2 linked regions of the Nothobranchius furzeri genome follow. The protein of the gene in region 2 purifies or fractionates together with the protein of the main gene of each other region. This does not show direct contact. Links are inferred from orthologs where the notes say so. Each region holds a gene or a part of one and is shown on either strand. Other genes may lie near its edges.

What was found. The genes of interacting proteins can lie anywhere in the genome.
Region 1: the proteins of copz1 (region 2) and copa fractionate together in Homo sapiens (co-fractionation; 6 studies listed by BioGRID and IntAct, with this or other methods). This does not show direct contact. The link is inferred for Nothobranchius furzeri from reciprocal best matches to the Homo sapiens genes COPZ1 and COPA.

The regions. Positions count from the first base shown.
Region 1 is NC_091751.1:41,092,982-41,096,736, forward strand, and holds the start of copa (coatomer subunit alpha), read right to left. Parts: upstream 2,500-3,755; 5' UTR 2,344-2,499; coding exon 2,304-2,343; intron 2,025-2,303; coding exon 1,911-2,024; intron 1,832-1,910; coding exon 1,758-1,831; intron 1,628-1,757; coding exon 1,547-1,627; intron 1,254-1,546; coding exon 1,177-1,253; intron 942-1,176; coding exon 832-941; intron 1-831. UniProt on the Homo sapiens protein: The coatomer is a cytosolic protein complex that binds to dilysine motifs and reversibly associates with Golgi non-clathrin-coated vesicles, which further mediate biosynthetic protein transport from the ER, via the Golgi up to the trans Golgi network.
Region 2 is NC_091755.1:25,755,061-25,758,815, reverse strand, and holds the start of copz1 (coatomer subunit zeta-1), read left to right. Parts: upstream 1-1,028; 5' UTR 1,029-1,141; coding exon 1,142-1,159; intron 1,160-1,574; coding exon 1,575-1,643; intron 1,644-3,079; coding exon 3,080-3,161; intron 3,162-3,240; coding exon 3,241-3,332; intron 3,333-3,458; coding exon 3,459-3,514; intron 3,515-3,609; coding exon 3,610-3,687; intron 3,688-3,755. UniProt on the Homo sapiens protein: The coatomer is a cytosolic protein complex that binds to dilysine motifs and reversibly associates with Golgi non-clathrin-coated vesicles, which further mediate biosynthetic protein transport from the ER, via the Golgi up to the trans Golgi network.

The DNA.
Region 1 (3,755 bases), on a different chromosome or scaffold from region 2:
GCAGACACTTTTATCCAAAGCGACTTACAATTTATAACCTATAGGGCATGTTGTGATCTGTGGGGGAAACCGGAGTACCCGGAGGAAACCCACACATGCATGGGGAGAACATGCAACTCCACGCAGAAAGGCCGCAGGCGAGTTTTGAACCTGCAACCTTCGTGCTGCGAGGCAACAGTGCTAACAACTGCACCACTTTAGTAACTGTTCAGTTTTAAAAACGTATTGAACTTGAGAGACAAAACAACAGGGGCCTTCCACTGAATGTGATCTCTCAAAGCAAAATCAGCATGAAGACCTACCGAGGAGAATTGTTACAGCATGCAGTTTAGCATTTATAATGCAGCAATGGATGCAATCAAGCTCAATATATTAACATTATATAAAGCACAAATCCAGCACAAGTGAGGTCACAAGATAAATAAAAAAATGCACATTTTCCATGTTTAAAAATTAAAGAAGATGAGAGCAAAGAAATTGTTCAGTTTGGGTAAAAAAGAAAGAAAGAAGGAAACACATTAAAAGTGTTAAAACCATGCAGAGATACAGAAACACTTCTCCAATTTCACTGGACCATTTTACACTACACTAGATCTTCTCCAGGCCACCATGCAACGTTATCCCTAAATGCAACAACATAAATGTCTCGGTCCTGAAAGGAGAGGTGTTTCTGCAAAGAGCCCACAGAGAATTGTCATCTAGGAGCTGGAGAGAAAGAAGAGGTAAAGGACTTGTATTAGTCCTGTTTCTGCCTCCTTCCACTCTGTACTCAACCCCTTCACCCAAACCCAGCCCACTGTCCACTCTGGTCCTTTCATCCCAGGCCCTCACCGGAGATATCCCACACTCGCACGGTCTGGTCCAGACTGGCAGACACCACCAGGTCTTCAGATGGGTGGAACTGGGCACACATCACGTAGTGATTGTGTCCTGTGAGTACACTGGGTGACACAAAAAGGGAGGGGGAAAGAAAAATCTAACTTTAATGTTTGCAGGGCAGTGAAAGCTGCGAGTCAAAAACTAGAACAGACCTATAGTATAAAAATTCTAATGTCTGAAAAGAGCTCAAAAGCAATTTACTGAGTATTTGAACCCACACTCTTCCCTGTATCGAATCAAATAGCTAAACTATGACTCGACGATTAGTAAAATAATAAAGTGCACCAACTGTCTTACCATACACACGTCCTGGACTGCCAGTTCCAGATGCGGATTGTCTGATCATCAGAGGCACTCAGAATCCAGGGGTATTCCTACAGGTAAAGTGAGTATTTCATGAAAAAAGCCAACATACAACCATCGCAAACATAAAAAAACTTTATGAACCTTCACAAATTTAAGCAAGGTCATTTATTAAAACCCAAATGCAAAGCTGACTCAAGTTGTATCAATCTCTTTACTGTTGTTCTGTTTATGTTTATATTAAAAATCAGGATCAGAACTCTAGATACATATCCAAGGTGTTAAGAGACTTGAATAAAGCTATTAACAATACATCAAGTCACCAAAGATACATTTTAGGACAAAGTGTGACAGTCCAACTCACATGATGAAAGAATGTTGTTCTAATGTAGTCCAGGTGTCCGAGAAGAGTAAAGAGGCAGCGCCTCAGCTTGTAGTTCCACACCTGGTTCAAACAAATTCACTTATTAAACACAAAAACCTAAAAGGTGACAAAGTTTTAAGTATCACAAACACTAATCCACAATCTAACCCAAACATATTTCCTATAATTCCAGTTTTAATAGCAGTCTTACCTTGATTTTATAGTCATCTCCTCCAGACACAAACAGGGGCTGCTGTTTATGGAAATCAATTCCTCGGACGGGGCCTGCAGGTAAAACCACAATTATTTATTTATAAAAAGGTGCGTAATATCAACAAACACGATAGCCACGTCACCGTCTCACCGTCATGTTCATCAAATTTGTCGATCAGTGTGCACATCCGATAGTCCCACAGCTGGATCACACCGTTGTGCAAACTTGCAAGAACCCATGGCCTTTTGGGATGGAAACTCAGGCCTGAAATGTAACATATGCTGGATTAAATATAATAACACACTTTAAGAGCTGGGAACCCAAAATACGTTAACGATAGCTACCCCAAACATATGTGAGCGCAACCGCAAAATGCTAATCATACAGAAAATTGAACGTATGACGAATGTATGTAAATACTTAAATAACAACAGCAAAATATGTTTTAAAAACCATCTCCTTTTATAGAATACATTAATTGATCAGGTTCACGCCAGCTAGCGATGTTAGCTTATGTGCTATTAGTTGTTGGCAAACTCTTACCTTTGACTCGGGCCGACTTCGTTTCAAATTTAGTTAACATTCTCACCGTTTAAGCCCTTCAAACCCTAATATTAAAACTATGGTTAAAACAAAAGTAATCAATGAGAACAAAAAAAAAAATTCAGTGTAAATGACAGGGACGGCCTGGACTCCTTCGCCTGTTTAGCCGATTTCTTTTTCCTGACACGTAGTCCGCTTCTGTCTTCCGGTTATGGACAATAAAGTTTTCCTCTGACGCAGAAAGCTCCACGGCAGCGGCGAATAGAAATAGATCTCATCGAACTGCACCAACAGGCGATCTTGGGAAGTCCCAATGAAAATTGAGTTCAAACTTATAAAGCTGATATAATTCGGTTATATAAATGACAATGGTAAACCCGTTATTGCGAATTATAAATTTAAAAAAAAAAGAAAACTGAGATTTTTCATGAGTCCTCCCGTCCTCCCCGACTTTTTATGTAGATCCGACATTAGGCGCCAGAGAGCTTAACAGCGTCACCGCCATATTGGGTGGGTATAAATATATATATATGTCCGAAAATATATTTAATACATTTATGTTTGCTGGTTTTAGATCTATATTCTGTATTGATTTTTCACGTGGATATGTATATTGACAAATGTGGCCGTTATATTAACACATTTAATTACTGTTACTTTGAATGATAGCAAGACTGGATGCTTGGTGGGTGACTGCCTTGTAAATCATTTAATATATGCAGATGACCTAGTCCTCATGTCTCCCTATAGCGCAGGCCTGCAGCAGCTGCTCAGGGCATGTGCTAAGTATGGTGAGCAATTTGACATACTGTTTAAAGAGTGTGGTTATGATTGCTGCTACTAAAGGGGACCTGAAGCTTAATTTTCCATCTTTTAACTTAACAAATCAGGTCCTCAAAGTGGTAAGCAAAGTAAAATACTTGGGGCACATTTTAAGAAGTGACCTCTGTGATGACGAGGATATTAAGAGGCAATGCGGTAAGTTGTACATGCAGGCTAACACTCTGGCACGTAACTTTGGTATGTGCTCAGATCCTGTTAAAGTGTCCCTCTTTCGTTCCTTTTGTACTCCTTTCTATGCAGCCCACTTGTGGTGCAGCTATAGTAAGGTAGTAATGAAGAAGCTTCAAGTGGCTTATCAGGATGCTTTTAGAATCCTCATGAAGCTCCCTAGATGGACTTCGGCAAGTCATATGTTTGTTATAACATCCCTACTTTTCATGCGCTTCTGAGGCTCTTCATGTATAAATTCATCTGCCGACTGAGTTTGTCAGCTAACGCTGTTGTTAGAGCACTGTCATCTTTAACTTACAGTGACACGAGGTACTCCTCAGTCCTTTTTAAACATTGGAACAACTATATGGTTTTTAATTTGAATGTGTTTTTTACTTCTTTTTTTATTCTTGTTAAGGACATATCCCTTGTCTGAAATAAAGTTTGAATGAATGTATT
Region 2 (3,755 bases):
TTGAAAGGGTTCCTATGGACATCAAAAAGAAGGATTAGGTTCTAATTTTCTGGTTTAACAAAAGCAAGGAAATAAGATCATGATGTTAGAAAAACATATTTAGCTTTTTACGTTACAGAAATCAAGTTTGTGAAAACTTGATGAAAGAAAAAAGTTCAGTCTGAAATGCTAAACTTATAACTTTGTTGCAAAGCTACAGAATTGCATTTAATTTTTTAAACACTATCCTCCATTTACAAAAAGCAACAAAGTCAACAATGTTAAAGGTGAAACAATTTTAGTAAGCTTGTTAAACGGTGCTTATTGAGTGACAGTAAAATAAAATGCAGATTTGGATTTACGTTTATCATTTTGTGTCACATCATTGCAAAGTAAATGTTATGAAAGATTTTAAGACTTTAAAGTGACTTTCTTTTATTTTCCGTTATGTGACTTTTCAGCTTTTCGATTTATGGAGAAGAGGACAGCTATGGTTGCACCCTTTTCTGTAAAACCACATCCTTTTTTATATTGTTCATCAAAACATTAAACACGTTGCTCTTTAGTCTGCATTAGATGCATTGATGTACTCGAAGTTGCTACTAAATTGGGTACTATTATTTTGAATTAAAATGTTTTTATTTTTGATTGATAGTTTGATTGTAATAATCCAACACTGTATTCACAAATGCAGATTTTTATTTATGATTATTACAAAATGTACTAACTGGAATAATAACATAAGTGCATTTACAAAGTCCCTGAAACTGGTCAAGAATTAGTCAGTCATTTCTTTTGTCCACAGTTTGAAATATTTAATCTAAAATATTCAAATGTTCAATTTAAACACAAAGGCTATTCAGATTTGTTTTATGTTTTTATAACATTTATTTTTGTGCTTATTTTTCCCCAAATTTTTTTAACATTGAAGTTTATAATTTTATAAATTTTTGTTGTTCAAACTCCGTTCAATCTGTGCAGTTTTCAGGTAAAAAAAAAATTCACACATGATGAAGACTGTTTTGTCTATAAAGTTGTTAATAAAGTTTGTTTAAAAAAAGTCAACAGTGACGTAATCCTTGCTCTTACGCACGACGTAAGATGCTGGAATTGATTGTAGGCTAGTGTTAGCCGTGTAGCTGGTTTGCCAACAAGAAAGAAAATGGACTCGCCTATCCTGGTAATATCTAATTTATTTTTTCATGACGGCATAATGTTAGTGAAGCGTTTAACCTCGTAGTGTAAACATTTTTTTAAATTGTCTTCATAATTTAGGCGAAATGCTGCTTATTTAGCATCCTCCCGAGTTAACTTGACAGAGAGCTAACTACAGTGTTAGCTAACTAGTTAGCGTCGAGGAAGTATGTGTCCGTTTGTTGCTGATGTGGAAGTGTCATGTCCTCCACCTGACATGAACAAGAATACCGTCATGACAACATTTTTACAACCGTTTTTGATACATGTCTTAAGACTAAACGATCCTATTATGGCCTAATCACGGCCATTTTTCTTAAACTATCCTTCTTACTACAAACCTTAATTTCTAGTCCTTTATGTTTGTTTAAACACAACGCACTGTACTGCTGTCTTCACAGGAACCCTCTTTGTATACGGTCAAAGCTGTTCTGATTCTGGACAATGACGGAGACAGGCTTTATGCCAAGGTATGACTTTAATCCTGATTCATCTTTTTTACTTTAAATATTTTCTTCAAACACGCAAAGTCTGATTTAATGTCAATATTACAGCTTTTCACTTGGATTAGATCCCCCCAAAAGCAATAAGTTAATTATTCAACACACCTGATACATTTTCATAAATTTTTCATGACCTATTTAATAATAATAGATTTGAGCTGTACACAAACAGTTTTTAGATGTATTTGAAGGTGGTGATTGCAAAGCACTAAAAAAAAACACAGGAGTCTTTTGTGTAATTAGATAGAGAAATTTAATTAGACAAATTACAGGCGTTATTCCTTGGTCTGTTGGTCTGTTTAAAATTTAAGGTGTTCCTGATTTATATGGTTAACTATTTTAATTTTAATTTAATGTATTCATTTTTAAAATGTATCTTATTTACTTTTTATTGCTAAAAATGGTCAAAGCTGATGGCTCCTACCCCCACACCTTAAAGTTTTGTTTAAAAACAAGTTTATTTTTACTGACTCAGTATAATTCACATTATTCAATCCTTGTAATTTTATATCATAATTTTAAATATTGTTAATCATAGAAGCAAAGTTTTAAATGTAAAACTATGTTACTAGGTTTTAAATATGTTTGCTTCCGTAGTAGAAACCGTTTGGCTAACCCCGGCTTTCCACGGGAGCCGTCAGCAGCACGTTACTGCAGCAGCACGTCATAGCTGCTGATAGGAACCGCTGTGGTCAACAGAACCTTTTCCACCGGAGCCGCCGGCAGCCGTCAGCAGCGCGAGTCGGCCGCGTCTCAGGAGCAGCATGTCGCGGCCTTTACGCGCCGGTTCTATTTTCTACGCGCGACGCCTCTGAAACGGGTCAAGTTCGACATTTTTGGGGAAGGAAAGACAGGAAATCGAACGCGGAAATGGGGAGAAGCTCTCGAGATTTTCAGAATAAAGAACGTACTGCCTTCCGGTTGCTTTACTTTTAAAAACAGTTACTAACTGTGCGTCCCCGTGAGAAGTTATCACACAGCTAGTGGTCTCCTTTGTTTTTCAGGTCCGTATTGGCGATTATAAAACGGACAGAACATAAAACACAAACCATGTTGTAGTTTTCTCCTGCTTGTTGTTGTGTTTACTGACGAAGTCACTCGTGTGACTTCGTGCTCGGTCGGTGACAGCTGCTCCCCTGCTGCTTCGCGTCTCGTGGGAAGGGCCAAGCAGCAGCTTACGCGAGCAAGACGTGCTGCTGCAGTAACGTGCTGCTGACGGCTCCCGTGGAAACCCGGGGTTAGTGTCACAGAATCGATAGGGAAGTCAGACCTTTTAGAAACTTAATGTTTCCTATTTTAATGAAGAATATTTTACGTACCACATTATTTATATACTTTAATGTAAAATAATAGATTTATTTGAATTGTTTTAAAATGTACTTTTCTTCTTGGTGTGTCTGCAGTATTATGACGACACATATCCGACGGTGAAGGAGCAAAAGGCGTTTGAGAAGAACATATTCAACAAAACACACAGAACAGACAGTAAGCTAAGCATATTAAAGGTAATTGGTTTGCTTCAGTACATGACTAAAATGTGATGGTATTATTTGTTTGTTTGTAGGTGAGATTGCATTACTGGAAGGCCTAACTGTTGTCTACAAGAGCAATATAGATCTCTTCTTTTATGTCATCGGAAGTTCACATGAAAATGAGGTAAAACTGAAAGAACTTTCATGAAAAGTCAGCCTTTTCTTAATTATAGCAGATAAAACAGTCACATTTTAACTGCTAATATTTTCACATAATTACTATTTGTTGAAATTTGTTCTTTTTCAATAGCTTATGCTCATGGCTGTTCTAAACTGCCTATTTGATTCCCTCAGTCAGATGTTGAGGTATGTCTTGGTAGCAGTTTAGCACAAAATGTCAAATGTTTATAAACCATTAATCTCTCAGATTGGGATTGAGTTATTTCTCTTTAATTTTACAGAAAAAATGTTGAGAGGAGAGCTCTGTTGGAGAATATGGAGGGACTCTTCTTGGCTGTGGATGAAATAGTGGATGGGGGGTGAGTTTGAACCACCAATGATCTTTAACTAAAAACTTTTTCTTTATACTTACTGTGGTGTTTTGGGT